Linked DNA regions of Oreochromis niloticus. Each later gene encodes a partner of the first gene's protein in a complex. Links are inferred from orthologs where the notes say so. Each region holds a gene or a part of one and is shown on either strand. Other genes may lie near its edges.

What was found.
Region 2: the proteins of ptpn11a (region 1) and gab1 are in contact, whole or in part, in a crystal structure (PDB 4QSY), measured with the Homo sapiens proteins. The link is inferred for Oreochromis niloticus from reciprocal best matches to the Homo sapiens genes PTPN11 and GAB1. Residues at the interface, in NP_002825.3 of Homo sapiens: Gly13, Val14, Glu17, Arg32, Pro33, Ser34, Lys35, Ser36, Thr42, Arg47, Thr52, His53, Ile54, Lys55, Leu65, Gly67, Gly68, Tyr81, Gln87, Leu88, Lys89, Glu90, Lys91, Ile96; in NP_002030.2 of Homo sapiens: Lys623, Val625, Glu626, Tyr627, Leu628, Asp629, Leu630, Asp631, Leu632, Asp633.

Annotation. Positions count from the first base shown.
Region 1 is NC_031972.2:11,307,299-11,323,983, reverse strand, and holds the start of ptpn11a (tyrosine-protein phosphatase non-receptor type 11), read left to right. Parts: upstream 1-7,675; 5' UTR 7,676-8,172; coding exon 8,173-8,186; intron 8,187-9,641; coding exon 9,642-9,764; intron 9,765-13,340; coding exon 13,341-13,535; intron 13,536-13,896; coding exon 13,897-14,089; intron 14,090-14,766; coding exon 14,767-14,886; intron 14,887-15,027; coding exon 15,028-15,141; intron 15,142-16,685. Other genes in the region: tmed2 (transmembrane emp24 domain-containing protein 2), read right to left, coding at 3,014-3,138, 3,228-3,335, 3,834-4,026, 4,542-4,721. UniProt on the Homo sapiens protein: Acts downstream of various receptor and cytoplasmic protein tyrosine kinases to participate in the signal transduction from the cell surface to the nucleus. Positively regulates MAPK signal transduction pathway. Dephosphorylates GAB1, ARHGAP35 and EGFR.
Region 2 is NC_031967.2:38,049,660-38,066,759, forward strand, and holds the start of gab1 (GRB2-associated-binding protein 1), read left to right. Parts: upstream 1-9,322; 5' UTR 9,323-9,874; coding exon 9,875-9,949; intron 9,950-17,100. UniProt on the Homo sapiens protein: Adapter protein that plays a role in intracellular signaling cascades triggered by activated receptor-type kinases. Plays a role in FGFR1 signaling. Probably involved in signaling by the epidermal growth factor receptor (EGFR) and the insulin receptor (INSR).

The DNA.
Region 1 (16,685 bases):
AGGCAAGATGCATACTCCACCAGCACTTTTAACATCTCTGAAAAATCACCTGGTTTACCAAATGTACATTTTTACATTACATACATTTTTCATTCATTTTTATACTCCTGTAGATGCATACAGTTAACTATGTCACACAATCCTCAATCTTTTTAATTTATCTGCTTTTTAATATATTTTTAAAAAATCAATATGTAGTGTTTCTGATGGGAAAGCTGTAGTGTTCCTCACAGGACAGCTACCACAGACATCTGAATATGATCCATTAGTGGAGATTGAACAAAGTATAAAGTATTTAAATTGAGTTTAATCTTAAACATCTGCAGCAGGAGCTCGGCAGCAGTTAGGTGTTTTCACATTTCATATTATATTATTGGTACTTTTGTTAAAGTACTTTTTTTTCTCTAAACACAGCTTTTTTGGCTTCCTCTTTGGACACAATTGCTTTAGTTTCTTCTGCCAGAGATTCTCCCGTTTTCTGGTCGCAGAGGTGCTCTCAGAGCCACTGACTGACATCTTATTCTTTCAAGCTAAGATAACATGATTTAAATCTGCTACCATCACTCCTGTTCCAAAAACCTCAGCAGCATTCGTGCCTGAATGACCATCATCTAATAACTCCTATAGTTATGAAGTGCTTTGAGTGGATTGTCATGGACAAAATAAACAGGACTGAGTTCCTGCCCCTCTACTTTGGAGGAGCTGCTGTTGAGGTTATCGCCGGTTTCAAGTAAATGGGGATTCAAATAAAAAACGTCGTCATCTGGAAAACTATCTTTACTTACCTAGGAGACTTGAGCAGACTGACCTCTGTATTGTAGCTTTTTCATCATGGCTCAGGTGCAGACAGAAAGGCAATGCACTGACCAAGTACCACACAGAAGGTCATCGGCAGTAGCCTTCTATTCACTAAAGACATCAATGTTAGCAGATGCAGGAATCTTCTCACCCTGCTCATTAATGAAGCAGGAAGGAGGATGTGCAGCATCATAGCACCAATCATATATCCACACACCAGGGACTCATACAATAATACATTACACATGACAATTTGTTATATGCTGTAATTCCTAAAGTTTATATTTATATTCATACCAGCCCTCTCCTTGCACTCTAAAGCTTGATTTTTTGACTTTTGCAGGAAATTTACATCCTAACAGGAAATTCCTTTAATGCCTACACTGCAACCTTCCATGCCATTCCAAGTCCTTGTGGTATGTGTCCACCCGACGTGTGGTTACATTTCTGAGGAAGTGCATATCAGGTTATGTAGAAGGCTACAACATACTGTTAAAATGAGGCTCTGGTTATGGTGCAAGTTATGACGTAGAGCTTACGCCTAAGTATAATTCTCATGTAAAACCCATTGGATATTAATGTGAATTATTTATATGTGTTTTTTCCTCTAAATTTAGATTGGATTGCCTAATTTGTATTACTCATTTTAATTAAGTTGATACAGTGTTGCCTCACTGGTCCTTATGTTCTGGGATAATAAACCTCTTAAAATCTTGAAAAACTATAGGAGCAGCTGTGTTCCAAGGAATATTTTAATTTAATGGTGAAATTACACCTGTTGACAAGTGTCTTCTCTCTAATCATAATGAAACGTCACACCCATTTATAAAGACATCAAAATAATTGTACAGAATATTGGCTTTATTATGAAACCTGGGGCATTTTTTTTTTTTTTTTTTTTTTTTTTTTTACAGACCACAGTCCTACATTTGTAAAGATCTATTTAGCTGATTTTGTTGCACTCACAAAAAGGAGAGACTGTGTACAGAGCAACTTTCCTGCCTGCGCTCACCATGAATTATTTGAAATACAAATCTGGAGCATATCTGGTGCATGCACCATTTATGGTGTGGCTAAATGGAAACATCTACTGCCTTGGACGTATATACTTGGAAGAAAGACCTCATCCAAACAGCTGTCACAAGTAATGCTCAAGAGGGGGGAAAAAATTAACAGTTCGAATTTTATACAATCGTATAATTTAAAATCCCCAACCCTAACAAAAAATAACTATAGAAGCAACTAAAGAATTCAAATGTTTAAACCCCCTACCTACCCAGCCCACCCAAATCAACATGTAACATGGATTTCAGTATTCTTCTATACTTTGAGAGGCACCCCAAATAGTTTAGTTAAAATTCAACCCCGCCTCTGCTTTTTATGATCTTACAGCCAGGCCAAAGTTTTTAAAATCCAAGAGTTTGACAATCATAAATGTTAGTTTATGGCAAACAAAAGACTTCGCCGTTGAATTCTATTTCTGAACTATGTGGGGAGTGAGCCACACAATTTCCCCTGGAAAAGATGACCACCCACCTGTGCCACAAATCGCTATGAATCAATAGACAGTGTTAGAAGCTGTATAGTTTCCCTTAAAGACCAGCTGTAATGTAAATTTTTTCAGATAGCTAGACAAGTTCATCGGGAGTGCAATTTGTGTTTTTTGAGAATTAACACATTGGCAGTATCTGCCAGTCTGACTTGGCTTTGACACCTGAAATCAAACTTTTCCTATCTCAGACACTAAACTACTGCACTGATGTTTTCAGATGTGCCATTTTTATCATTTCAAAAAGGTTCCCATTTCAAACTTAATATAGGCAACATTCCACTCTGACTCCACACATACCTGTCCATTCATGTGCAATTTTAAGTCTTTCATTTGACTGCAGACACTGAGCCTTACAGTCATTTGCACAGGAAACAACTGTACTAACTGTAATTAAACAGATCTGTTAAAAAGAAAAACTAATAAACTGAAATTTATCCCACAATCTTTTGGCCATTCGTTCCAAACATAAATTACATTTATAAAGAAGAAACCAAACAGGTAACAAGAGAACAAAACCTCTGAGATCCAATCACATGTAGGCTTTACTCAAAACTGCCACTCTCATTTCCACAGTGTAAATAACTGTCTTGGTGTTGGAGGGGAAAAACAAAACAAAACAAAAAAGTACAGTGGAGGACACAGAGGAGTATCATTTGAATAGCACTACACCACTCGCCGCACTTCGAAAAATCGCTTCAGGTAGTAAATCTGTCCGAGTGTCATTGCCACCAGAACCAGAGCTTCAAAGAATGACCACAGGACCACTCTGCTGTTTGTGTTGTCATTAACTGGATGGAGAAGAAGAGGAGAACAATTATAAAGATTTATCTACACTTATGATTACAATGGTTATTGGACTTAATGTAAAGGCTCTTACTTGCTCTGTGTATCCTCTCACGGACCTCCATGTACTCCTGCTCGTGCTTCACGGCTGTCATGGCAACTGCCAGCTCGTTGATCATCTCCTCCAGCTTGTTTTGGTGGGCTGAAACAAGAGAAAAGTGACTTGTCAGTGATGAGTCACAACACAGTGGTAAAGAACCCTGCTACCCCCATTTGAAAAAGAACCCCCCCCAAACAAACAACAAAAAAAAACATGCAAGATGTGCATATCCTTTTCACACCTGTGATGCATGTATCTGCATTTATACTTCATACATGTTCTCAACATGTGCAACAAGTCAAATCATTCGCAAACATCACCGCGTCTGACATATGTATGCTTAATTAGTTTTTACTACAGACGCAACTCTGGTTAGAGAAGACTGCAGTGCATCACAAGCTCAAAAATTTATTTCACAACAGTAGTTTAGTCAAAGCCTGCTGTGCCCTACCATCCCAGCTGTCACCACCTACGAAGAGGGAAACAGTGAATCCACATAATAAAGTCAAAAAATGAGAAATGAATAAAAGGAATAATAATTTTACAAGCAACAGGAATAAAAAGAGTTGCGGTTAAACTACATAAATCCCCACTGTGTACCTTCCGTCTCCATATCTTGGCCTTTGGGAGCCTCTCCGATATCAATGGTGAACATGACAATCTTGGGTGTCATGGTTGACATCTTGTTGCTGAAGCAGAACTTGTAGGTTCCATCCATGTGCGCTGCCACAGAGTATTTCCCACTGGACTCTCTGTCCCCTTTGTAAATTTGCTTACCGTCAGGTCCTGTTATCTGGAGATAGAAGAATATCTAAATAACTGACATTGCTGCTTGAGTGGAGAATAACATGACGGGCATGATGTGCTTTAGGAAACATATGGCAGAAACTAAGTCAGACTGTCTGCAGAAATAGCTAGATTTTCTGCTTAAAACTAGCGAAAATAAACGAATTCTACAACGTCTACAGCGCATTGACTATTCAATAATCAATAATTAGCTACATAATTAGCAACTTAGAAACAATGCTAATGCTGCACTTCCTATATCATAATGGGTAATTTAATCATCATTATGGAGCAGCTCTTAGCGGGAAACTAAAAAAAGCAACTCTGTAAGATGTAAACGTTTTCCATTCAACTGTATGTTAAATCCTTTACACCTGCTTTGCATCCAACTAGTTTTACCTGACGGTACCGGCTAATAGCTAACATTAGCACAGGCCTTGTGTTGCATTGCATTTTATGATTTACAAGTACATTCTGCCTCGCGTTAGGTGACTCTTTTGCTATCCGAATGAAACATCTCACCTCGACGTCGATGTCCAGGAAGCCTCCTTCGGCCACTTCAAACATGAGGCCCATCTTGGTACCGGAGTTGACCCGCTCGTAGAAGCACTCCTCGGCATGGGCGTCTATGCTAACGAAGTAGCCAGAAGCAGTGGCAGACAGGACGGCCAGCAAGACAACTAGCTCCGACAAGGTAAACATGTTTCCGTGGTTGTATGGAGAGCGTAAACGTAAAGCTGACGGTATAAAAATTTTCTATGCTAATGTATATCCAGTTTGTGTGAGTGGACTGTTGCAGGAGACGAGCCGCAACAAGCTCGGCTACTCTGTGCTGCTCTCAGACTGCCACGTACGGGCTTACTGCACGGGTACCTGCGAGGGCCAAACCTCCGAGAATACATGACACACACTGAAAAGGAAGTGAAAGACAACTCTTCGTTTTCTCATTTGTTATTGGAAGAAGTCCCTTAAGTCCATGTAAGTTATATCTGCTTGCCAAAGTCAACCCCGTAAAGGGTCTTTATGTGCAACACGAATAATTAAAGAGTCGTGTTCTTTAGTTTACTATAATTTGTGTTTTTACTCTGAATGTAAATACTTTTTTCTGATTTATAAAAAAAATCAAATCAAACGAACATAAGTGAAAATGCACTAATTTAATGAGTTAAATACATATATTTATACAAATATATAATAAGAATATAATAAGAAAATATCCAAAACAACAGCACTAAGTCATCTAAGTAATAGTACACGATTATGAAAACATTTCATATCAGTTGATAGCATTTTGCAGTAACGACAATAATAATGATAATAATAATTTATTAATGTTGCATAGCAGTTCAAAACTCTACTTGAAGATAATACTACTTGAAGACACAGTGCATCACTGTAAGACTTTTTTGTAGTGTGGCATGAATGACAGACTTGAATACTTTTTTGTTAGATTTGTAACTTTGTAATATTTTGTATTATTTAATTCAGTTTAGTAAGTTACTGTTCTTACTGTCTTGGAGCAACAGTGACCAAATAATTTCCCCTCAGCTTAATAAAGTATTTTGATTCTTCTCCATTCCTCAGGTTTCCTGTCACTTTACAACATTGTATTAAACAGTTTGAACCAAAAGACTGTTTAACACAACCTGGAACACGGCTCTCCTAGACATCTCCATGCCTTCACAGGTATGTCATCTGGATAAACTCGGTTTGCACTCTTCATCCTCTTCATAGCTGCCCTCACTTCCTCCTTATTAATCCTCCACTCATTGTGATTCACTAACTTTTCTCCATCTGTTTTCCTGTCTCCTTCATTTTCTGGAATTATCAGCAGCTCAAAGTGCTCCTTCCGTCATCTTAACACACTCTCTTCTATTGTTAGTACATTTTCATCTCTATGCTTAACCACTCTAACCTGCAGCATATACTTTCCATTTCAATTTCTCTGTCTAGCCAATCAGCAAAAGTCCTTTTCTCCTTCCTTAGTTTCTTACTTACAACACACTACAATCCTTCTCATTTGCCACCTCTCTCGTTGTTGTATTCCTAGCCGTCCCGTACTCCTATCTATTTTCTTCATCTCCTAAATATGTCACTCCTTCTTTACTAACCTGTTTCATTTCATTTCCTATAGTTTCATGTACTTCATCATTTCACCACCAGGTCTGCTTTACCCGGTTGTGTCCAGAGGATCCACCAAACACCAGTGTCAGCACTAAAGCTGTACTTTCCCAGTCATCGGGTAACTCTTTCTTTCCACCCAGAGTATGCCTCAACTTCTTCCTGAACTCTGTGCAACATTCTTCTTTCTTCAACTTCTTTCACTTACTCCTTGCCTCTGCCTTCACTTGCTTCCTCTTCTTAATGTACAAAGGCATCCTACAGACAACCATCTGATGCTGCTTAATGACATTCTCCTCTGACACCACCTTCCAGTTTCCTATATCTTTCAGATTGCACATTTTGCATAAGATGTGGTCCCTCTGTGTGCACCTTCCTCATCTCTTATATGTCACCCTGTGTTCTTCCCTCTTCTTAAAGTACATGTTTAGTACAGACATTTCCATCCTTTTTGCAGAATGTACTATTATCTGTCCCTCTGCATTTCTCTAACACCTTACCTACTTAATACCTCTGTTCCCTTTGTCTACATGTCCATAGAATTTTGCACCAATCACAATAATGTCCCCCCTGGGGACATTATTGCTTCATCTGACTTACTCAACTTACTCCAGAATTTGTCTTTCTCTTCTAATTGACATCCAGCCTGTGTGGCATGCGCACTGACAACATTCAACATCGACCATTCGATTTCCAGCTTCGGACTCATGTTCCTGCCTGACACTTTTCACCTCCACAACACTGTTCACATACTCTTCCTTACCCCTACTCCACTCCTGTTTCTATCTACACCATGGTAGAGCAGCTTGAATCCCCCTCCAATACTCCTGGCCTTGCTTCCCTTCCATCTGGTCTCCTGCATAAACAATATATCTACCACAGTATATTTATACTGCCAACTTTAACCCCCAGACTTCTGTCTTTCCTACTCTCTCATTGCCTCCTAACACACCCTCCTCCTCTTCTTTTCCTTTGTCTTTGGCCAATATTAGCAGTTTACACCAGCACCCTGTTTGCCAGGTTGAAATCTCATCCATCATGACTTGAATGTTGGCCAAGGTTTTAATAGGTTTCTCCAAATATTTATATTTGTTGGATCAAATATAAATAAAATGATTTAAAAGGAAGATGCATGTTCACCAGTCTTATGGATGTACTATTTTGGGGAAAAGAGTACAATGCTTCAGTGATAAAGTTACTTACATCACCACTTGACTTTCTCCTAAGGTAGTCTCTGTTTTATGTGAAATATTTTATATGTTTTTGCTTACAAAGCAAATGACAAATATTGGATAGCTCAAAGATTGCATGTAAAATGTTCAAACAGAAAAAATTTGTTAATGTATACTAATTTTATCTGTATTTATTTTTACGCGTTTCTAATAACCCGAGTCGCCACAACAAAACATTACGAAAGTTTCATAATATCATTTTAAAAATGGTTGCGCATCTAATTACGTCACAAATAACATATGAAATGTAATTTATCTCCCGTTAGGGCTTAGAGCTGCGATTAAGTTTCGCTTTGCCGTGAGCACAGACAGTCAACGAACTGTTCGAGAAGCCTTCGCAGACGTTCTTCGTCGTTTGCCGCTTTCGCCGCTGTATCGTAAAAAAACCTTTTAACGAGCATGCGCTGAGTGAAAGTGATCTGGCTCTTTAATTTATCTGACGCCGTTTACCGGACGGACCGAGATCTGTAGCTTTTATTTAAGCGGGTTAAAGCGACCACGAGAAACGGCCGCCGAGGGTGAAAAAATCCATTACACCCTCTGTTTTGTCGCAGGTTTGGTGACGTCCAATAATCGACTTGCTGTGAAGTCTCCGGGGCCGAGGCCTAGAGACATTTTTTTGTAACGGGCGCTATCAAAAAAATTTGTGTCGATGCTTAACTAGATTTAGGTGCCCGTTTTGACCGGATGTGAACCAATGAAGCACTTTATACTGTAACTGAAGCTTTAACGGTGGGAAACGTTAGCCAGCTAATTAAAGCTACTGCTAACTGCCAGCGAGGAAGTGAGGAACGAAAAAAATGACATCTCGGAGGTAAGCGGGGGCTGTCTGGAAAACAATGTCTGCTGATAATGCTAGCTGAGTCTGCTAACTTTAAGTGAACTCAGCTGTTTGGATCTTGGTATGTCGGTAGACGGTCAATGAGAGTTCCGACGTTTCTGGAAATAAACAGAAATAGGTGGTGTAGGGCTGCTTCATTTAGCGTTACACCGGCAACTTAAAGCAGTCTTAAATTGTTAAGTAAACAGCGCTGTAACATTGGTACAGAACATACAAAGCTAAGCTGTCCACAAACTGTAGTTACTAATAGGTACAGTTAAAGTTAACTAACCCTGCTACAGCTGCTGTTAACAGATGCATCTTACTGGATTGATTTGTTATGCTTTGAGCTGCTGTCCAAGTCAAACCAGCTGTATTTACAAATAACTGAACATAAGACACCCCATATTGATACAAAAATTAACGAGTCATTTTAACGAGAAAACGGGAAAACAGCAGGAGTGCATCAGAAAAACGGAAATGAAGTGCTTTCACGTTATAGATATGTGCAGAGTAGGCAGAAGTCATAGCAGTTTCAACATTTTAAGTAAATTAAATTCCTTAGATTATAAATGTAACGCGTTAAAAAGTCATCGTTAGCGAGTGGAATAAAGATATTTCACATAGATGGTGCACAGACCACAGACTTCTTGTACAGACGAGAGGGAAAAGATGAAGATCATATTCACAGGGAGGCAGAGGCAGGAGATGACCACAATGGACGCATGAGTGAAACAGGCAGGCAGTCTTTTCGGGGGAGTGCCGGGTGGCAACTTGTAGAAAGAGCGCAGTCAGCCTCCGAATGTCTTTACTGGAATATACAGAGTTGGATAGAGAGGAAGTGAAGAAAGACAAAGACAGTGTGGCTCTTTTATACCTTTGGCTCCAAATCAGTCTCGATGTCAGCAAGCACCCTGTGCAATAATACCAGAAACATTGTAAGAGAGAGACAAGACTCTCAAAGGAATCGTTTATTAAAATCTAGGCAAGACATTTTTAACAGCAAGGATGGTGATAGGAATAACTTCCCCAGTGGCCTTTTGAAATCCTCATTATTGTGTAAGTCATTGACACATTTAAGCTGTTTTAATCAGATTCAGCTTTCATGTCCAGGTGACCATTCAAATTAAACTTGAGTATTACTTCAAAATGCCCAGATAAGTGACTGGAGATGTAACTACAAACTTTTAGAAGAACTTTGATAATACTTTCTCTGAATAGTGGATTGAAAATTGCAAATAATCAAGTTTTAAGCAGTTAATTCATAATTTTGGGCACCTCTTAGTACTATAACTGACCATCAACTCTGAGTTTATTATGTCATGTTGTTGTTGTGCAATGTATGGATTTTTGGCAAAAAGTTCACACAATGCACTTTATAATGAGTAAAAATTAAATGCATGTACTTAACAGTAAGTCTAAATTGTTATTTTACTTGTCCTCTTTCAGGTGGTTTCACCCCAACATCACAGGTGTGGAGGCTGAAAACCTTCTGCTGACTCGTGGAGTGGACGGGAGCTTTTTAGCCAGACCCAGTAAAAGCAATCCAGGAGACTTCACGCTCTCAGTACGGTAAGTGAAATTACACACGTTTGTACAAAGCACCATACTCCAGAGGTGCATCCCTAGTGTACTGTGGGGATTGTGAAAACTAAACAGTGTTACTGGAGCAAACATTTGGACATTGAATAATCTGTCTCCTGATCCAATGTTTTTTTTTCTTTTCTTTCAATGATCTGGATGCCTTTCTTTGACTTTACAGCAGAAGAATTGTTTTGCATTACCCTTTTACAAGTTAGATTAAAATAAAAATAAAACAGTACATTCTTGCTCATGAAACAAGTAAGGAAACAAGGAACATACAAAGTTGACTGTCAGAGTCAACTTTACAGAGGTTTGCTTTGATATTTTGGCTATCCCTGTGGTGTGCATAAGAGTTTTAAAAACCATTACAATACAGGAAGCAATGGATGAACTGTGATTGTTCCGCTGTTTTAATAAAATCTGCTTTTGCACTTTATAAAAATTTTTTACAAATCAACTTGACAAAGACTGAGTTTCTGTTAAGGTGATCAAAGTAAATTTTGAATGGTTGGACTTTTCAGTATTGCCAGCCTTAGGTTTTTCCATTTTTTTATTTTTTTTATTTTTTTTTGGGCTTGGTCACAGATGCTGAAGGCCTTTAAACAGACAGGAGTTATACAGCATTATCCCTTCAGCTGGAAGAGAAAATATAAATGGATTGAATGAGCAACAAATCATTTAATTTCACTTTAAAAAATGAGATAATATATGTAAACTCCAAATTTTGCAAGAGTGATATTTTTTACTGGATTCTCCTATTTTATGATCTGCATAAAGCAACATTTAAGACACACTTTTTGTAGTCCATCTTCAGGACAGTGTAGTTTCACCACAGCAGTGTAAGTGAATATTAAAATGATCCTACCTACTTTGCTTTCAAGTAGAACCACACCTCATTAAGTTGGACTAATCAGTATTTTGGCAGTAACAGTGAGTCAAAAGACTGTGGAACTTGAATTAGGTTTTGATAAATCTACAGAGAATAATCCCTCAGTTCTGCAGGATGTTTTAGTCTGTTTAGTATCATTGTCTTTGTTTTCCACTCTCTGCTCTCATCAGATTCGTTTCCAGGAACAGCAGGCAGGTGTTTTGAGCGAACAAGCACAGATAAACCCCTGCAGCACATTAGCTACCCAGCACTAAACTAACAAGCAGGCAAAGTTGGAAACTAGCACATCTACATCTAGCAGCTTAATGGCCAGATGGTTCACTTAGGAGTTGGTGCAGAGCAAGCCTGAGAGTAAATATTAGACTTATATTTATCAGGTGGACACAAACATGACTGGAAAAGAGTAATAGCTTTGCTTGGTCTGCTCGGTGTGTGAAGAGGGAATTGTTTAAGTAATAACATGACACAATATGTCTGTATTAGTTCTTTATGTTCTGTCCCTTGCAGCATAATTGGACTATTAAATTGTTGTCTTTCCTTTACAATTTTGGACGATAGTGAGAAATGCAGTATTATCTGAAGAAGGCAAGACCAGTGTTTGCTGATGCAGAAAAAACAAACAACTTTGTAGTTTTATCTTGAGGCCTGTCAAGTCATAAATTCTATTTCAAGATAAAGTATCATTAAGTCAGTTTGGCTGATGTAGCCAGTGTTATTTTTGGAACAGCCACATATTTCATCTGTACGGTCTCTCATCTTGCACCATATTTACTTCCTATGGAAACAAAACAAATCATGCTTCTTGTGTGGAAACTGACATTTCCACAAGGACGTTAGTTTAAACCAGCGTGTCTTTTTTTTTTTTTTTTTTTTTTTTTTTTTTTAACTGTAAGTCGCTGACAGCAATTGAGCTGCATATCTGCCACAAGTTCTCCTTTTTTCTATTTTCTGTGTTGATGGCAGTCACCTATAATGACTCAACAGTTAGTCTGGTTTGTATCACCAAAAAACATATGCAAATAGAAATGATACCCAGTGGTGTTAGTGGTGCATGTTACACAGTGTTAAACTGATTATCACTTTGCTAATTTTGTATCATTTCTCACTCTGCATCAGAAGGGCTGGAACAGAAACAAACCTAAGGGTTGTTTCAGTTCATTTAATGTAATGTTGTGCCTGTAACAGTTTCCTAAAGTTGGTGACAGTATAAAATTTTGTGTTCTGTTTGAAAGACGAAAGCTGGAGGCACAGAGTACCAAATATTTTCATTATCACCTAATGTCCTGATTGATTGAGATCCAATGAATTACTTCATCTGGAAAATGTCATAAAATCTTGTTTTGTCAGATCAAGAGAACTAATTTTCACAAGTGAGAAATATTGTGAACATCTTAATCTTGGGGATTAATCATGGTCAGAGTGATTGCCTATAGCTTTCTGTACTTTCATGATGCCATCTCCTCTTAAAGCTGACACTCACGACACTGTCATTTGTAGGTTCATCCTGTTTGTTATCAAGTTACAGCTTAATGTAACTTCTGTGATTCAAGAGCTAAGACAGTTTATATCCTGTTTTGCAATGTAATCGTCTTCTGTTTATAAGTTATTTTTTAAAAATTTAATTCAAGTAAAATTAAATTAAATGAATTCAATTTCATTTATCTAGTGCCAATTCACAAGAACACTTACCTCAAGGCATTTTATATTGTATGGTGAAAACATCCACCTGCCACGATCAGGTGTGAGTGAGGGGGGAAGAGAAGAGTGCGGAGGGAGACAAGACAAAAGACACACTATGGGAGAAAGATTAAGAGTTTAATAATTAGTAATGATTTGAATGCAGTCGTGGTCAGTGATGAGTAAGGTGCTGAGTGCGTCATGGAAGTCCCCCAGCAGCTTGTTGCGGCATAACTCTGGGTCACTTGATCAAGCTGTAACTATAAGCTTTATCAAAAAGGACATTTTTAAGCCCTGCGACAGACTGGCGACCTGTCCAGGGTGTACCCCGCCTCTCGTCCTATGACAGCTGGGATAGGCTCCAGCGTCCCCCGCGACCCTGGAAAGGATAAGCGGAAGCGAATGGATGGATGGATGGATGGATGGATGGACATTTTTAAGCCTGTTTTTAAGTGGAGAGAGTCTCTGTTTCAGTTCTCAATTTAACAAGGGCTCCTGTGGATGCAGCTTAGGAGAATTGGAAGGTTGGTGGTTAGATCCCTGGTTGTTCCAGTCTGCATGCCAAATGTCCAAGTTGCTCTATTATTAGTATTATTTTTCTTTTTGCATAACTGGAGCTGATGGTGATAATTTTTATTTTATTTTTTAACCCTCCCTAACCTTTACCCCAAAACTGATTATTAAAACTATTTTTTAAAATAAAATATTCAGTCATATAATTGAAGACAGAAGAGGGCAGTGAAGAGTGAAAAACAGACCAGTTTTATGTGTACAAAAATGGACACTACACAGTGGTAGAACTAAAATAATTAGAGAAAAATACGCTGAAAAATTCTGCAAATTTTATGACTTCATAATATTTTGGCTGTTTAGCTCGTATCTGAGCTCAAAATATGAGGAAAAAATGGATCATAGGCCAGATGTTCCTACATTTGTAACCTGATGATGTTGACGATCTTACATGTGATAGTAACATAAATGTTTGTGCTGTTCTGCAGGCGAAATGGAGCAGTCACCCATATTAAGATCCAGAACACAGGAGATTACTACGACCTTTATGGCGGGGAGAAGTTTGCCACACTTGCAGAGCTGGTGCAGTATTACATGGAACATCATGGACAGCTGAAAGAGAAAAATGGTGACGTTATTGAGCTCAAGTATCCACTCAACTGTGCAGATCCCACCTCAGAGAGGTAAGTGTTAATGTTCATGTAATATTTTTTTTGTGGCAGAAAAGTTCTAAAAAACAAAACAAAAAAACTCCAAATTATTTGTCGATAATTTCTGAACACTTTGTATATTAAATTTACATAGGACCATTTTGGACACAGGTGTTGTTTTTTAAACTATTTGATAACACTATAGTTGCCAATTCAATTCACACTTACACAGTAAGTAAGAACTATAAGCTTCAGATTTTAATGTTATGTCTTTTATTTGTGATAAGTTGTGCTTACTTCAAGTGAACTAGGGCATATCTTGCAGTTTACGTAATATGGAAGCACATTTCTGTTACGTGATATATTCTACTAGCTTCATATTTTCGCATTGCAGATGGTTCCACGGACACCTGTCGGGCAGGGAGGCTGAGAAGTTGCTCACTGAGAAAGGCAAGAATGGCAGTTTCCTGGTGAGGGAGAGCCAGAGCCATCCGGGAGATTTTGTTCTATCGGTCCGTACTGGAGATGACAAAACAGACAGCAGTGACAGTAAACCTAAAGTCACTCATGTCATGATCCGCTGCCAGGTAAGATCCAGATTTTGTACACACTCCATCTGTTTTCCACACCTAAACTCTGCCTCTTAGTGTGTCTGAATTCTGTGCACCATGTAGCATGCAGGTATACCAGCAGCCACCCAAGTACATTTAGAGATTTAGTTTAACCTTTTTCATCTTTCCAAGGGTAACAGATTTATTAGCTGACCATTTATTTTTTTTAAAGCCTTGCTAACCAGCTAGCCCTGGCCCTTAATAATTCTTAACTTTTGGCTGGTTAACAGGCCAGACTGCTGTTGTGGCATTACAGAGTATTACTTAGTTGCCTCTTCAAAATCATGACATGGATTAATGAAAATTTCAAGTTCAGAAGCAGAATGCTGTCTTAGAAAAATCCTTTTTAATAATACCCAGTGGTATAGCTGCTGTTACCCAAGGTGGATAAGCTAGAAGTTGTGTTGCAGTAACTCATTTTCTATAAAATAGAGTTTTTGCACATTACTGAAAGCAACAATATCTTTTGTCATATTTTAAGACAAGATATTCAGTCAATTAACATACCTTGTAAAATTTTACCTAGGTCTTGAAGACTGTATACATAGATATGAATTGGTTGTATACAAAAGACATCTGTATCTTGATTCTGATAACATGAGGCCAGTCTGTTTTTAATTATATTGCTGATGTACCTGTGTCTTTTTGCTCAGCATGACCTGAAGTATGATGTGGGTGGAGGGGAGAAGTTTGACTCTCTCACAGACTTGGTAGAGCACTACAAGAAGAACCCTATGGTTGAAACTCTGGGCACTGTGCTTCAGCTTAAACAGGTTTGACCCATCTCCTGTAGCTATGTGTTCCCAAGCATTCGTGCCTATATAACCTGCCTCAGAATCTGTTCATTTGCAAAGGAAGAGAAACATTGGAAACATTCCCTGATTTGTTTCTCTTCTGACTGTTGGCCTTTGCAGCCTCTGAACACTACCCGTATTAACGCAGCAGAGATTGAGAGTCGAGTTAGGGAGCTTAGCAAACTAGCGGAGGCAACAGACAAGGTCAAACAGGGATTCTGGGAAGAATTTGAGGTGAGTGGTCCTGCATTTGTGTTCATTTTTATTATTCATGTACTTTTGTATTATCGACATCTTTAAAAATGAAAGTAAATATTCATAACTTTATTACACAAGAAAAAAAACCCATGGATGTGAAGTGAACTGCCTCCTGTTGCTCATGCTTTCATGCATATCTATTGTATGTGCAGACAGTTTAAAATATGGACATAGCTTCTGTCTCACTTTTATGCCATTGTGAAACCTCATACTTAGACATGGAGTTACAGTGAATGAAGTGAAAGACTTCATTATTTGTCTGCAAAGATAAATTTATAACCATAAATTAGGTGAAGTTAGTGAAAACCGGGTTCTTTTTACATGACATTTTTTTGTCACTATAATCAATGAATAATCATAAGTAATTGTGATCTTAATATTTAACAAAATAATTGTGATAAGGATCACCGTGGAACCCTAGTTATAAAATTGACAGCTGACTAAAATTAATAGTGTTGGACATTAACTGTAAATTAGTGTCATGGATCACAGTAGCCAGTGAAATAATTTGGCAAGCTAGCCAGTTAGCTTTTCTACCTACCGTACATGATTTCAGGAGGAATAATGTTAGCAAGCAAACTGCAGTTAGTTGCAACCTCATGCCTGTACTGGCAACATCCAGTAATGTAAGCTAATAAAGTAATTTGAAAATGGCAGACTTTGGAATTAGCTGACCTTTTCTACTCAAGATAGTATTTGTTTATATACGATTTCTGCATCAGCAATAGTTGTATTCACTAACATTAACCAGAAGAACGATAGGTTAAGGGTTTGAGTCTTGCTATGTATTGAATTTCCTGTTAATGTTGACAAAAATTTTCTCCTGAAGGCCAAATCCTGCGTTCGCAAGGCTTCATTCAACAAAAATGCCTAGTGTCGGCTAACTTCAGCTTGCCTGCTAAGGCTAGCAAATAACTTGACACCTAACATAACGTGGCGTGATTGTTGATGTCAGAGTATTTCAGAAACTGCTCATTTACTGGGTTATTTTCCCCACACAACCATCTCTAGAGGTTTTAGAGAATGGTCCAAAATATAAAAAATATCCAGAAAGCAGTGGTTCTCTGGATGAAAATGGTTTGATGTCAGAGGTTAGATGAAATTGGCTTGCTTTGAGTTTAGGCAAATATTACTCCAATAACTACTTGTAACAACCAAGGTATGCAGAAGAGTATAACCCATTACACCTCAGATGAGTTACAGCAGCAATATACCAAAAATCTCTGACAAATGTTTCCAGTACATTGTCGAGTTGGTGTCAGAAAAGCATTGAGACAATTCTAAAATCAAAAAAGTCCAACCCAGAACGAGCAATGCACTTAATAAAGTGCTCAGTGAGTGTATCTTGATAATAATTTAGGTGGCTGCATTTGTAAAATGTCTTCCACAAACCAGGATGATTTTGCAGATAAACTGTAAATGTGCTTAAGTCTTTGTTAAATACGTTGATGTGGAATTGTACATTCTCAGGTTTGTGGTAATTTCAAGCAAAGTCAACTTTAGTATGTTTTCAGTGGCTT
Region 2 (17,100 bases), on another chromosome or scaffold:
GCAGCTTTAGCTTGAATGATTAAATAGCGTTTACCCTCACTGACTTTATTTTTTGTCGCTGTTTTGTTTGAACAAGATGTTAATTTTCCTGTTCTGTGTAGACAAAGCAAACATAACACCAGACTGCTGGGAAAATGTACCCAGAAGAGAGAAGGGGGAGGAAAAAACAAAAAAACAAAACAAAACAAAAAAAAAAAAAAAAAAAAAAAAAAAAAAAACCACACACACCACACACCATAATCAGACAATAATTTCCCTCTGAATTATTGAGCACACCCCAAATCACAGTACTGGCAAACCTCAATACCAGAACAACCAGTATGACCAAAATAGTGCAGAAGCCCTCTGCTTTGACTGGTCAACCCTGTCCCCATCCTGTTCCCCTGGGCCAGGACGAATCAAAATACAGAGTACACAAAGTGTCACGAACTGGCTGTGTGGAGGCAGATGAGGACCCAAATGCAAAACTCACAGAGACAAAAGCTGAACTCAAAATCACTGCTTTATTGCAGGCTTCTGCTGAGGACCAAGGGAACACAGAAAGGCACACAGGTTCAGGAAAGAGACATTGACAATGCAACACAACACTGAGGGAGACATGGACATAAATACAGTGGGTTAACGAGGGAAGTAGAAGCACATGGGGAACACAGGTGACACTGATAATCATAACGAGACACGGCAGGAGCAAACACCACACTGACGTGAGACTATCAAAGTAAAACAGGAAGCACACAGGGAGGCTGATCAGGGGGAGAGAGAGAGAGAGCGCATGGGAGAGCACAGACATAACAGGCTGGGGAAAACATGGAATAAAACACAAGGAGGGGAAACAAGGACTCACAGATACACAGAGGGGCACACAGAGGGTAAAGTCACAAGGGGAAATCAAATAAGCAACATCTTAATAGAACAACGTAGGAACCCGAGCCGCCAGCGGGAACAGAGGCAGGGCCAGCAGGTGTGGGCACCCCTGGCTGAGGGGACGTAACTAGCTGCACAGGGCACGCAGCCAGCTTGGGATGCAACAGCTTGGGCTGTGCCGTGCAAACAGTCTGTCCAGGCTTTGTCAGCACAACGCTATCCTCAGCTGGCTGAGTTAGCTCACTAGAGCCTCCAGCAGAGGATGGCAGTAACTGAAAAGGTTGCTGAGCTACTAACTGAGCTGGTGACAGAGTTAATGACTGAGCTGATAACTGAACAGGCAACGAAGCAAGAAACTGAGGTGGTAACAGAATGGATGACTGAGCAGGTAATAGAGCTGACAACTGAGCTAGAGACTGAGCTGGTGACAAAACAGGAAACTGAGCTATGGACAAAAGTACAAGTTGTAGTGGTGGTTGTGATGATGGTTGTAGAGATGGTGGATGAGCAGGTAGCTGAACTTGTGACTGAGCAGGTGGTCTGATTCTTGGCTGTTCTCCTCCGGGGAACAAGAACGGGTACTGGGCCTGGCCGAACACCAGCAATCCCCACCCGAGGAACAGATACGGGTGCAGGGACGAGCTGGGCTCTGGCTGCCCTTACCCTGGGAGCCGGTGTAGGTGCAGGAGCTGGCTGAACCAGTGCTGCTCCCACCCGATTAACTGAAACAGGTGCAGGAGTCGGCAGGGTCACAGTTGCCCTCACCCGGGGAACCAGAACAGGCGCAGGCAACGGCTGGGTGTCCGTCAACCCCGCCCGAGGAGCAGGTACGGGTGCAGAGATGAACAGAGCGTCCGCCAGCCTGGGGACAGAAACAGGGACAAACTGGACCTCAGCCGCAATTCTTGGCTCAGAAGGAGCCGTTATAGAAATAGGAGCATTCTCATAGACTGCTTCTAAATACGCTGGCTGGTGAGCAGCACAGTCCAGGAGTGAAGAAACACCAACCACGGTCTCATGCTTAGCAGGCACAGGAGTAGGGATGTTAACACTAGTAGTGTGAATTAACTGGGTGTGCAACTAACTCTGGAATATTCCATCTGAGCTCCCCTAGCAGTTTACTCATGACGGACGGTAACTTGTTGCCCTTAACCTTAACAACCGTGACTGAATACACAGTTTTAGTGTTTTTAAACCCCGAGTTAACAGACTTCGCATCTGCTCTTGTTAACTTGGGAGGAGGAACATTCTTTATCCCTAGAGACGCAGTTTCAGAGCTAACAGACGAGGCAGTAAAATCTAAACGTGACAGAGGTTCAAATCAAACCTGAAGAACAGAAAGCGCAGCCTTTGAAGGTTGGAAGACTGTTCATTTTCCAGGGGGTCCCTTCCGGTTTCAGCAGGAACCTCAGGACTGTTTGTTTTAATATTTAGTTCATAGGCATGCGACTCAAAAATAGTCTTTCGCTTTTCTAAGATGAAATTATCCGTCTGTGTATTAATTACTGCTGACATGGGAGGAGCAAAGGAAAAACAGTCATTCTCAAACATGGGCGTGAGAGTAGGTAATGCAGGCTCTGAATTAACTGACCCAGAATTACCAGACACTGAGTTAATGCTCTCTGGGATGACGCACACAGAGTTTACAGTTTCAGAATTGTTTAATTCAACTGGAACAGCAGTCTCTAGGGGGACGATGAACTCAGTCTCATGCTTAGTAGGTGCAGAGGTGAACTTAGAAACATTGTGTGGCTTGCAAACAGTCAACTTTAAACTTACTATTCCTCTTCGATGAGTTACAGACACGAAAAACGGTGGACTCAGGAACAGAATATTGTCCAATTCGGTCCGGCTCGGAAGGAGCATGAAAGAAACAGATTCACTCACCACCAGAGTTTGCTCAGTAACTTTAGGGTGACAATGGCGTGAGCATCGTTTTTTTCCTGGGAACTGTGCCGTGAGTTGCTGGGGCCGTAGACGTAGGCACCTCTGAGACGTCGGCTGACTGAGCCGAAGACGGGCCGGGCTGCGTCGAACAGTCAGGGAGCTTGTGCAGCTCCGAGCGTGGAAGTCCCAGGAAAAGCACAAAGGACTGCAGCGGAGATGGGCTGCTCGTTGGAGGCACAAAATCTCTCCTCGGCCGCCGAGTACCCCCCTTCTTTGCGCGGGACGTGGGTGGCAATTGTGGAGGTGAGCTGGAGGTTGAGGAGGCTGGAGGAATTGTGGCAGGCCACAGACTAAATCCTCCAACTCTTATCACCGGGGAACGAGGTGAAGAAAAGGCAGCAGCATTTGCAGTTTGAAGGCTGAGCGACCCACCTAGAGCCAACCGAGTCATAAAAGGTGGACTCGCGCTCCCAGGCATGCCGAGACTCCTGCCTGCTCCTCTCGTTAGGAAAGGTGGAGTCTGCACGCTGCCGATTCCATAGGGAGTTTGCTGGGTCCATGACTGGTCACGTCGTACTGTCACGAACTGGCTGTGTGGAGGCAGATGAGGACCCAAATGCAAAACTCACGGAGACAAAAGCTGAACTCAAAATCACTGCTTTATTGTAGGCTTCACAAAGAAACAGAACTAAACTAGGAATGCTAAACTGAGGACCAAGGGAACACAGAAAGGCACACAGGTTCAGGGAAGAGACATTGACAACGCAACACAGAACTGAGGGAGACATGGACATAAATACACAGAGGGTTAACCAGGGAAGTAGAAGCACATGGGGAACACAGGTGACACTGATAATCATAATGAGACACGGCAGGAGCAAACAGCACACTGAACCACACTGACGGGAGACTATCAAAGTAAAACAGGAAGCGCACAGGGAGGCAGACCAGGGGGAGAGAGAGAGCACGGGGAGAGCACAGTCATAACGGGCTGGGGAAAACATGGAATAAAACACAAGGAGGGGAAACAAGGACTCACAGATACACAGAGGGGCACACAGAGGGTAAAGTCACGAGGGGAAATCACACGAAAACTAAGAATGCTGGGTCAACATGACCCAGGGTCATGACACAAAGACTGCAGAAAGATATAGTTATTATGGATATTATATGGAGCCAGAAGTACACAATGAAAAAGATGTCTTCTTTTATTGCCAAACCTGTCCCAAACATAGAAAGCAGCCAAGCACAGCCACTAGATATATTTCTCATTCCGATTCCTCTTTCATTTCTCAGTCCCAAGAAGGTGATGGGATGACCAACAGCCAGGTAGCGCTCCACACAGGTCAAGACGTGAAGTCTCGCCAAACCAGTTGGACAAATGCATAAGGGCCCCCACTAAAAGTATATTTAAATCTTGGTTGTAGTTAGCGAAACAAATGAGGATACATCCAAAACTATAAATTAGTTCCATAGTGACTATGTGGTATGTGAAACTGTCTGAATGACTTGCTGTTGATGCTGAGGAGACAGAGTGCCCTCTCCACCTTTGTTGCAGACCATAGTAGAGGATAAGTGTGCAGAGGAGGAGGAGGATATTGGTGATGCTGAAGGAGATGAAACGGAAGGAACTTGGTCTGTAGACAAGACACTGTATTTTCAAAGGAAGAGAATAGCTGATCAAGGAAAGAGAGTCATTGGAGGTGGATGAGATTACTGACATCTGGAAGAAAATATAAAATAACAATCACATATAAAACATAAAATCATATCAAATGTCAAACTGAGAAAATGTACCACTGTAAAAACAAAATAAGCTGATTTTGAATTTGATGGCAGGAACACATGGCCTTGTCCTAATTTTCCAATATAGATTTTTGACCTTGATCCATTAATTCAAAATTTCACAGTTTCTTTAATGATATTATGTACATCATACAAGATATTCAAAGTCTTTGCAATTTCATATTGAGAAACAGTATTCTTAGATTGTTCAACAAATTGTATATGCAGTTCTTTCCAGATTGGTGAAAATATGCCCGTCTAAGATGGTCTTGTTATATTATTTTTATTACCATTTAACGTTTAATATTTTTCATGAAATTACAAATTGTCTCACTTTAAACTTTTCTTATGGTTTCTGGCTCTTTTGTGGATAAAATATGTTTGTTTTTTGTTTTTTTGTACTCAGTCTTTTTGAAATTGCGGTTTCATGACATCACTCAATTTTCATCTGTCCTACTTTGTTAACCAATCCCCTGCACTTGCAGCAAAATGTATCTCTTTTCCACCGCTTCATTTCAAGATATGAAAATTATATTCAAAGATAGAATAAAACTACATTGAAACCATACAGAACATTGTGATTTAATTATGTCTTGAATGAAAAACTAAAGATGTAAAAACAGAGAAATATTCTATAATTGTTTAGTTGTGACAATATTGTTTATTTTATTTTTTTATGTTTAAAGAACTTTTCCCTTGTAAGTAGTGTGAAGTGATGGAGGATTGAGGAGGATGCTCTGTGGTGACTAAAGTGAGCAGCTAAAAGAAGAAAAAGAAGAAGAAGACTCTCTTTGTCAGTAGTCTGATCTTCCTCCTATTGTGAGACACTCTTGTAAATGTCTGATTCGAATGTCCACCTCTTTTAGAAAATGAGTGTTTTTGTAATAGGTGAAGGGAGGAGTACAGGAGTACACATGCTATAATTCAAGTTCGTTCTTTGAATCTTTTTACACGGTTAAAATACGTTGGCCTTTATATTTTCTTTGTTTTCCCCTTTTCCCACAAGGCCAGAGAACAATTAGCATGACGTTTATTCAGTGTTGTCAGTTACACGAGCCAAGGTGTGTCCATGACGGCACTCTGGATTGAGAGATTAGAAAAGCTGCAATGTTATGAAAATACACGTATAGTAGAAATTTAACTCAACCACAAAGATTTGCTTCTAGATGGCTGAAATGTGCTCTTAGAAGGACTTTGTAAATGATCACCACCAGCTAATCATGCAGCTAGAATGAAGCCATGCAAATGATACTCATTTTTTCAGAACATTTTCATAATTCAAATAACTTTGAAACAAACAACGATCCATGTGTATACAAATCAAGTAATGCACTTTAGGTCATCACAGCTGCCCTCGTGTTTTATTCAAATATGAGCTTTCTTGTTTTGATTCTCGCAGGGGTGTTTAATCATGAAAATAACACAAAGTGAATATGTGTATATCAAGAAGAATCGAATCACTGCTTTCGACCAAATGACCTATTATTATTTCTCACAGGTGTATTTTTAGTTAATAATATATTTAAAATTGATATGCAAAAAACTGTGACTCTGCCATAAGAGTCACATTGAAGTAATGCACCACGCCCCACCAGTCCACCCTTTACTTGCAGGGTTTTTTTTGTTTTTTAAATGTGCAACAATATTCATTTTATATCCGTGGAAATGAAGCAGTACATATCAGATGAAAAATCATAGGAAATGTAATATTGTTGGGTGAGCCATCCATCCATCCATCCATCCATCCATCCATCTTCATCCGCTTTATCCGAGGCCGGGTCACGGGGGCAGCAGCCTAAGCAGAGAAGCCCAGACCTCCCTCTCCCCAGCCACCTCCTCCAGCTTATCCGGGGGAACACCAAGGCGTTCCCAGGCCAGCCGAGAGATATAATCTCTCCAGCGTGTCCTGGGTCTGCCCCGGGGCCTCCTCCCGGTGGGACATGCCCGGAACACCTCACCCAGGAGGCGCCCAGGAGGCATCCTTGTCAGATGCCCAAACCACCTCAACTGGCTCCTTTCGATGTGGAGGAGCAGCGACTCTACTCTGAGCCCCTCCCGGATGGCCGAACTTCTCACCCTATCTCTAAGCGTTGGAGGATTTTTCATTTTCAATATCTGCAGAGTTGGTGCTGAACACTGGTTGGATGGTCCCCCTGTGTTTTGCCTACGGCGCCAATCAGTTCAAGTATGTTCAGTTAATAATCCAAGAGACAGTCAGTGTCAGTTTGACACTTTGGTGTCTAAATCTTTGAGAGACCTTCTTTAACAAGAAAATCCTAAAATGGCTATGAAAAAGACAAATATCAACAGCTGTTTTTCTTGTCAACAGAAAAACAACAACAAGAACACAACAGTGACTTTAATTGCAGTTCTGTATAACTAACACCAGATGGCAGTAAATAGCCATATGTCACTCTGTATCAAACACAAACTGATAACTAGCTAAACAGATGGCCACATAATGTCAGTGTATTTTTACATTGTCTGACAGAAACATTGTTGTTTCTCTCCCTGTACTATTTTTCATTCCTACAAATTCTTTCTCCTCTTGTATTTAAGAAATGACAAAACGAACCTACTTTTGGCCACTTCCTTATTCACAAGAGGTCCCCACAGCAGGTAAGTCCACTTATTTTTGTCACAAATACATATACAGTTGTGAACAAGTCTTTGCCGCTTACCCTTTTTTTTTGGATATTTTTCACACTTAAAGCTAAGTATATTAGAAAAAAACTGTTTTTATATCATTTAAATCATTATTTCATTTTAATCACGATTTTTAAAAAAATGATATCCAAACCTATGTGAAAATGTAAGCCTGGAAAAGGTTACAAAGCAGTTTTTACAGTTTTAGGACTCCACACCAAACTAAATGAGAGTCATTATCCACAAAAGAAGAAAACTTTGAAGAGTGGCGAACTTTCCCAGAAGCAGCTAGCGTACAAAAATTACTCCAAGACTGCACTGATGACTCACCCAGGAGGTCACAAAAAAACACAACAAAAAAGAAAGTCTACAAACGGAGGAAGAATTTAAGAACAGTGTTCCTTAACATAAAATTATACAGACTTAAATATTTAAAATAAAGTGATATAATAATGGATATAATCACTCATGTAAAATTGTTCTGAGGTCAGAGAAATTGAAATTTGAAATTACTTTTGGAAAACTTGGATGACCTCTGAACTAAAGATAAGAGGGACCATCCAGCTGGTTACAAGTGCTTAGTTCAAAAGCCTGAAACTGTTCAGGGGTGTGTTAATGCCTTTTGTTGTACCTTATACTTCTAATAATGCATGATTTTCTTTGACAAAAGTACAGCAAGTTCTAATTCTCCCACCTAGTCACACAAAACAGAAGTACAACTCATACAACCTGAGTTTTTCCTAGGTGTTTGAGGGAACAATTGCCAGTTTTAAAGAAAAATGATACTATAAGATATTAATACTATATTTAGTAAAGGAGTAATAACTTAAGAATCAACTTTCAGCTGCTCTAGTACACTATTGAGCTGTTGTAGTTTACACATTTGCTTGGCAATGAAAGGTCCCTGGTTCAGTTATAGTTGGAGATACAAATCCCATTTGGGGTTTTGTCCTAAAAAGGCATTTGAGGCAAAAGTCTGCCACATCAAACATGTAGTAATTCCCACCATGAGGTCATCATGGTGGGAATTACTACATGTTTAAAAGACCTGCAGTCAGCTGAGACTGAAGAACTCACTTGGATGAGTGACGAAATGTTTCTCCCACTGAAAACGCTACGTCCAGATGAACAGAATCAACTTTTGGAAAATTATCTGTGCCATTTTTTTTTTAAATATAAAGCTTCTGTTTGTTTGTTTTTTATGTCAAGCAAATTACTATTAACAGAAATAATACATGTACTTCAACTGCAATATAAGAAAGGAATAAATAAATGAGCATCATATAAAGATAATATTGACAATAAATCAATTTATGTGTAGGTTTTGATTTGAAAACAGTTCAATTATAAAAAAAAATAACTTAAGAATTAAAAAAATAAAATATAAGGTATAATACAAGAAATAGTCAAGCCATGTAAACTGAAGTTATTACAAGAGAAGAAACTGAAGAAAGTGGACTTCATCTACTATTTAGTTTGAGACTTTCAGCACTGGAGGGTGCTGTAGCCTCCCTTTTACCAATATAATATATTTTAAAGAAGTCTTTAATTTCAAGTGTACTTGGAACTCTGGAAACTGATCAACTTAGGGTTAAGCCTAAACCTTAAACAACTTTCAGTGCTCTTTCACACAAGATACCTGGAGATACCAAGGTACATGGATTAAGATATAATCATCAATAGACCCCAAGGTTGTTCATAATGGCTGTTGAGCTGTTACTGAATGTATGCATCTTTTTTTAAGTAGAAATTAAAAAAAACAAACCAAATAGATGCTGTTGAAGGAAAGAAGTTTTTTTTTTCTTGTTTTGTTGAACATATGTTTTCTTTTGTTGATATCAAAAGTCTAGTCTGTCATAGTAGACCCATACTCATGCTTATTATATTTAGAAATCTAATTTATCCATCAGTTTATTCAACTTATGTCCATGCCATGTTCACTTTATTTTAAAGTAGACATCTTTCTTTTCCCTCGCACATTTTCCAAAAAAAAGCTGCATCCATATCCACAGGGGGAGTTTCCTGTTACACGGAACAGGAGGAGAATGGGAGGAGTGAGGAGGAGGAGGAGGGAAAAGTGGGTGGAGAGGAGAGCAGGAATGTCCGAGCTGAGGCATTGTGTTCAGTTATCACACAACCACAAAATGCGAGAGAGTGAGAGAAAGGAGGGAGGAGGGAGGGAAGAGTGACTGCTGGGAAGTTGAAGCTTTCTCAAAAGGAGGTGTGACTCAGGCGTCGACGGGTGAACAGAGGCTCTTCCATGTGTGGATAGAAACTGCTCAACTGATTCATTACAGCAGGATTTTACTTAAAAACAGACTGGGAACCTTAACTTATTAAAAGTCTGATTGACAAGTGGAAGCCTGACCTACACATGTACAGATCAACTGACTGGACCTCAGACTGGTGCGAAGCTTGGATGCCTTGTTTACCAATTTAAAGGCAAATCAGCTGATCTCGAATCTGGTTGGAATTGATCATTTTTAACAAAACAGAAGACTTACTGAAACGTTTAATTAACCCATGTGACATTTGATTGGTTAAATGTACCTGACTGTTGGAAATTCATGGTGATCAACTGAATGGTTGCCTGCTTTGACACATTATTGGCATCCTGATCAACTGAGGTCCATCTGATTGGTTGATTGATAATTAAAGAAGCGCTGCTGGAGCCATTTTTGTTGGCATCGGGATGAGCGGAGCAGGGGAGGTGGTGTGTGAAGGGTGGCTGCGAAAGTCTCCCCCAGAGAAAAAGCTGAGGCGCTATGTGAGTATTTTATTTGAATTTGAAACATTTTGAAAAAATGAAACATACAAAAAACTGTGCATATGTTCTGTATCTTTGTGATGTCCAGTGTGGGTATATGAAGTATCCTAAAGCTGTACAAAGATTTTTAATCAGGAGTACAACTACAGAAGTATTACTAACTGTTCATGGAGGTTTGTCTCTGTAGCATTTAATTAAGTTTGAAGATTCGTCTCAGTTTCATCAGTGTTTACACAGTGAGTCATTTCCTACAGTTACACACTCTTGATTATAAAACAATAAAAACTATCCATCCTAACACACCTGTCAACTAGACAGGAAGCAACACTGTAATGTTACTTGACTTTGTACTACCACATTATAAAATAAAGAGAATATTTGTGGAAGGACAAAGTCAAGTCTATGGTTTACCCCATCCTTCACATTAAGACAGCTGAGATAGGCTCCATCACCACCATGACCGTGAACTGGATTTGCAGTGGATTCGTAAACAAATGGATAGATTTTTATTTCTAAAAAATGAGAATTCACACATTATTTATTTGGCCCTATTCAGAATACAGCTAATACACAAGCTAAATCTAGAGAAAAAGAAAAACAGCTCGATTGTATGCTATATCTTTAGCACAGCTACAATATTTCTACTACAGTTAGCATATTAGCGTGCAAGCTAGCTGTTTGTTTACTTCAGTCAGGAAGCAGACTTTTAATTACAGCTAGCACAGCAGTCAATATCCTTAAAGTGACATCTGTAGCTGTCTTGTATTTGTATCGTATTGTAGGTGAATTTATTTGTGAGTCCTTTCTCTATGAATTTATGTAAAATGCATACATCTTAGCCAAAAATGTTAAGCCTTAATCCCATTATCTTTGAAAAAACAAAAACAAAGATGTGACACAGATAAATACGCTGATCTTTAGCTGATATATTAGTCCTACAAACTAACTGTTATACAACTTGTCATTAGAAACATAACTGACTTAAAGATGAGCTACAACATTGCTACAATGTAACTTGTGATCTGATAAACATGTAAAATGAACAAAGTGGACAGTTCTAGCTGCTGTCAAAAGGAACAACTGTTTCCAGTTACATGTAAGCCACAAAAATGTTATTTAGCATTTTTCAAATCCCAAACCTGACAACCTGGCTCTGTGCCTGTAATGAATACCAGAGACTTGGACCAGTTTTGTTTTTTCCTGAATTCTCCTTCACTATGTAGAATAAGTGGAAGGATGGATTAATGAATTCATGCAAGTTGGTGTGTCCAGTGGCACCACTGGCTGCTTTATTCCAGTAAAGAAGCAGCTTAGGCAGTTAGGATCACATGCATGCACCGCATATTTGGCATACCTTACCAGTGAGTTGAGCTAATCTCATCTCTCCTTCCATATTTTCCCTTGATGTTTTATTCTTTCCATTTCTAAACAAATGTTTGGTGTACCTCTCTCTGTGTTTCTCTTTCATTCTTGTGCTCTCTCTTCCTCTCCTATGATCACATGCTTTCCTTTCCTCCTGCCCCCACTCTCTCTCTGTCTGTCTTTGTGTGTGTGTGTGTGTGTGTGTGTGTGTGTGTGTGTGTGTGTGTGTGTGCAGGGAAAGTGAAGGATAAAAAATAGTCTAGAAGAAAAAGTGATAGGAAGTGAAGCTGCCTTCAATACCAGAATCTGCTCAGGGAAAGCTGAACAATTTCCAGATTTGAACCAGCAAGCTTTTACGTGAGAAGACGGCTCTTTGATGAAATAGCTGAAACAAAGCATCACTAAAAGGCCGGCGAAAAGCACAGAGAAACTGTGCCAGCATTAATTAGGCAGACTTCAATTTAATTCTTCTTAGCTGACATCAGTAGACCCATCGCAGGGAACGTTTTTAGGAGGGAACAATCAGATTTCAAAGAAAGTGGAGTGCTGGAGTTGCACTTTCTTACTGCTTGGTTAAAAATTAAGGAGACCGTGCACATCCACTGGAATCAAAGAAGAAGAGCTGGAGGAAAAGGGAGAAGAAGACAAGAGACGAAAACGCAGAGAGGCGAGACGGCAAGAAAAAGAAAATTGCTCCAAACAGAGAGACCATTGTTGAGTCTGTGTATATATTCAGTCATGATGGTATATACAATGAAATGTGTGCATACACTGCTTGGCCAGCTGTGTCTCCAATATCAACACACTCACACTTAAACACACAAACATGCACAGTCCCCTACAATGGCAGAAGCAGACAGTTTGTGTGTGCTTGTTCATGTATAGTGGGTAAAGTTCATGGAGTGTACTTCGTCACACACTCCCTGTACTGTTGAAAGCTGTGTGTGCGTTATGTAATAAACTAATCACACTCAGCTATGCCTGGTTAGAAGATGAGGGCCTCCCTGAAGATTTAGAAGATTTGAAAACACACACACACACACACACACATTCTCTGGAAGCAAACCAGGGATAATGATGAGGTAAATTTTGAAACCTTGAGTACAATAACACATGTTTTACACACACACACACACCCAGAAGGTCAAACACAGTTGAAGAAAGAGTTGGCTCTGCAAAGGCCCTCTCTTGGATATATATCACAGTTTGGATACCTCCAAAAGTCCTGCTCTCCATCAATGTAATGGTGCAGTGGTGCTCTACAGACAAGTTCAAAACCTAGCCTTGGAAAGGTTTGAATAAAGAGCTCTGATTTTATGCATCCCAGCACCACAGATGCTCAAACACCACTCAGCAGCACCCACAGAGTTGAACGTTACTTAGCCACGGCCTGTAAAGTATGTAGCATTTATGGCACTCGATAGGATAATGGGATACAATGATCTGTCTAAATTGCTGGTGTGAATGGCTCTTATATTTGACATTTATTCCATTCCATTATGCGGTTGCATCCGATTAATGCGTAGCAGGATGCTACAAGATAAGTTTCAGTCAGCCACGGTACACCTGAAATGTTACATTTCACCTCGAGAGAGTTATTCATGATTTCAGTTTTTCAAGTTGAAAAATTCCTAACCTATGATTTAAATGAAATACAGCAAAGCTAATCCTGTTTCACTCTAATTTGGGTCCTATACCTTACATTTGTCTGTGTATGAAACTTTAGGCTGAACATGGGCAAAGCAGGAACTGTTTTATTTGGAAGCAGATCTGAATCACTGTGTTTACAGCTGTGAGATGGGGCGTTGACCTTGGCTGAGGACATGCTCTCTGGGGCAATTCTAATTTCTTTCTTTTCTGCTTGTTGGTTCTGCTCTAATATTGAGATCTGGGAATGACATGGCTGACAAGCACCACTAAAAAACGAAGCCAGTGAGCGAAGAAAAGACCACACTGAAAAACAGTTTAGGCATATTTATCTGGATTAGAAAGCAAACATAAACAGGAAAATTACCACCAAATTATCAGGGTTAAACTTTTATCTCTTGTAATATTTTCCTTTGCAATCTAAGCTTTAACTTCTTCTTGACGCTCCAAAGAGCATCTGAGGAAATTCTGAACAACTAATAGAATAAAGTTGCTATTGGTCAAAGTCATTGATCCATCCTGGTACCTGCTGTTTCACTTCCATAACACAAAATAATCTTATTTCATCATATCTTGAAATGAACTGTTTACCCCAAACATCACATTCAAACACTTTCAGAAACAATTTGTCTAAATCTGCCAATCAAAAGAAACTTGAAGCTAACTAACATTGCATCTTAGAAAGGGACAGGGCATGAAAGTGTTTACATCCTGTTACACGAATCGTAAGCCAGGACCTCTAATAGTGGGTTGTAGATGTACACTTCCTTCTGCACAGTCAGTCATACAGTTAAAAGGTGCAGTTCAGTAGAAAGAAAACAGTTCCTACATGAAACTGTTCACTACAAGTTTTGTAAAATATATTTTTGGGGAACTGGGTCTGATTTGTGGTAAGAAGTGCTGCTGCTGATGTTCTACATGTAATTTAGTTCTATTATATTTAAAAGAAAGCAGACATCTCCAAAACTGGGCAAATGGCACCAAGCTAGATAGATTTTAAAAAGGATGCTAATTTCATTCCATTTAAAGCCTCTAAAATCTATGAAGCAAACTGAGGAGTCCAGCTTCTTAGCCATATTCACTTACAGCTATGTTCAAAATATTATTCATCTAATTTTTGTTTATGTTGCAATAAAGCATTTAGAATAATTTAGGTTTTTTTCAGTTTCTCATAAATGAAACTGTCTGCAAGTGACAGCAAACAAACTGAAGGTGTTTTAAAGTCACATGTCTGCAGTTATGAGAGCTCAGCACTAAATGGAATGAGAAGATTAGGGATTACAGATGAGAAGAGGAGGAACTGAACAGCAGGAATATTGTTATTCAGGTCTGGTGTTAATTTTGGCTTGGAGACAGGATGGAGGAAGTGTTATTTTAGATCCATTGTGCCCTTTTCCTGCTGAGGTCAAAGGTCAAAGAAAGAAACCAAATGAAAGGAGAGGAGGAAAGAAACTGTTAAAGGAAAAGAGGTTATCTTCATTACTTTAGGTGGATTTAAGGCCACTGCATGGGAGCACAGTGCACAGTGGACATAGGCAGCAAACAACAGATCAAAGGTAATGCTATAAATGTTTCAGAATAAATGCTGTCCAGAGGTTACACTTGGGATCTTAAATATAACAAAAGTATAAACTGGCACAAAGAACATCAGTAATTGTTTGCTGTCTAAACTGTTCTGACCACTGTCTTGGTGATGATAGTGTAGTAGAAGTACAGTTCCAAATAAATAAAATATGTGATGAAATATATAAACGGTTACCACTGTGCTTAAAATTTGATCTTTTTCATCAGATCAGCAACTAAAAGGACGATGAATGGACAGTCCAAATTGTGAAATCAGCAAATGTGGAAAGTAATCTATGTGAGTCAAGAACAAATGTTGGTCTTAGACATGTTATTTTTCCTACTGTTGGCCTTAGTATAGTAGCCTTAGCATAGTAGCATGCATCCCCAATATGATCATCTTAGCCACACAGCTGGGACTATGAGCAAAAAGCCCCACCCACCGCCATTCAAACTTTTTGTTTCGGCTTGGCAGCCAATCTGAAGAAAGTTGACTTAAAGATAAAAGGATAAATAAGAATTGTTTTGAGCTTGGAACCATGCAAACCTACTCTTGTAGAGTACAAGAATAAAAAAATTAATAATAATAATTTAGAAATGAGCATGATAAATGTCTTTTACTAAGAAGAAACAAATCTCATATTTGTAAAACCTTACAAAGACATGGAGACAATCTTATCTCTTGTACTGTGGAACAGCAGAAAACAAAATGAATGATGCCCTAGACTTGTCACTGCATGGCAGGCATGATGTGGGGTAAATCAAAGTCCAGCTGACCCAATGGATGCAAGAAAAAAAGGGTGTTTGTAGGCATACACAAGTACAAGGATATACTGGAGCACTAGAGCAACATGTAAGTAGAAATGCATGTTGATAAACAACCTGCTGACTTCTCCAACCTTCAAAAAAGGACCATTACTACAGGACATCGAATTGTCAGTGAGTCAAGGCAGTAATACCAAAGGAAAAATTTTATTCGTCTCTGTGATGTCAGGAGACTGAAAAAAACCAAAGCAAAATAAAACAAAAAACAGTATTTCACAAACTGGAATAAGAATATTATTTCTGATACTTAGGTATCTTATTATTGAGAGTTATATCTTTAAAATAAAACAAAACAACCAAACACACTTTTGTGGTCACTGAAAAAAAACATGAATATGAAGATATTGATGAAGTGAGTTTTTTCTTCTAATTAACATATTGTTTTAAATAAAAATGCTAAAGAAACACAATAACTCAGTAGGCAAAACAAGTAAAGAATTTGTATAACAAAACCATACACTGTACATAAAAAAGGGTTTTCTAACAAGTCTTCAGGACCACCTTAGGACCACCTGACAATGAAACTGAAGGCCAATGGTGATCATAATTTACAAGCCGAACATCTTTTTTTTTTTCCAGAATCACATGAAACTAGTGATAAAGGGTTTATTAAGGGTCATAAATCACAGAATTTTACTAAAGATTTTTATACCACCAAAAGTCTTCTTACAACAAGAGATGCCCCCTCATGGTCATTAAAAGCAATGCAGATTTAAGGTTAGCCCTTGCTGCTTGCTTCTATTTAATATATTAATTATTTTAAATTAAAAACCTAAAGAAACCCAATGAATCAGTAGATGAAATCAAGTCAGAACTGAACACCAATTTAGTTTGACAAGCAAACGTTTTCTTAAAATGTTGAACTGAATCGGGTTTGCATGCCAGGTTATAAAAGAAGTACTTAGTGCATTACTAACAACATTAAAATTTGACTACCTTTTCATCCTTTTAAAACTATAGCATTGCTTAATCCGGTTGCTCCATCATGACTTATTCTAGTAATAGCCTGTGTTACCAGGCACTTAAAAAGATTTTGCAGGCCATGCTGGTTAGTGACCCAGTCCGCTGCAGCTTGTTCCTGTTACTTTAATTAGAAAGAATCAAAAAGTATTTTTATACTAGTTCTGCCACGCTGCTGCTTTTATCTCACCAGCACCCAGCAGATCATCAAACAGATCGAGGGAGACAGTGAATAAACACATGCTCATGCTGCCATCTCCCACCGGCATTTCCTGTTCAGCTATTTCCTTTTCCTGTCTGGATTTGAAGGAAAAAAAAGGGTGAAATGTGTTTTGCCTTTCATTACTGTGCGCTTTGATCAGACAAGCACACAAACACATAAACTCACCCGCTGAGGCTCAGGCCCAAGGAGTCCATTTTATTTTGTTGAGAAATAGTTCATGAGGATCAGAAAGGATGGATTTAGCTTGTCGGACCAACACAAACACACACACACACACACACACACACACACACACACACACACACACACATACTGTATTCAGCCTTGTAAACAGAAGCATAAAACTTGTTCTAAATTGTTCTGTTTTAAATGGTATTTGTTCAACCTTTGTAAGAAAAATCTCAGGTTTCTTTAAACTGACAACCTGAGCTCTGAATGTGAAACTGCATGCACGTGTCCACGTACTGTTATGAAATTGAAGTCCTTATTTATGCTCTGCTTCACACCTTTAAAAAAATATCAGGACTTCTATTTCACACTCTGCCTACACGCTAATGGTACAAACACATAC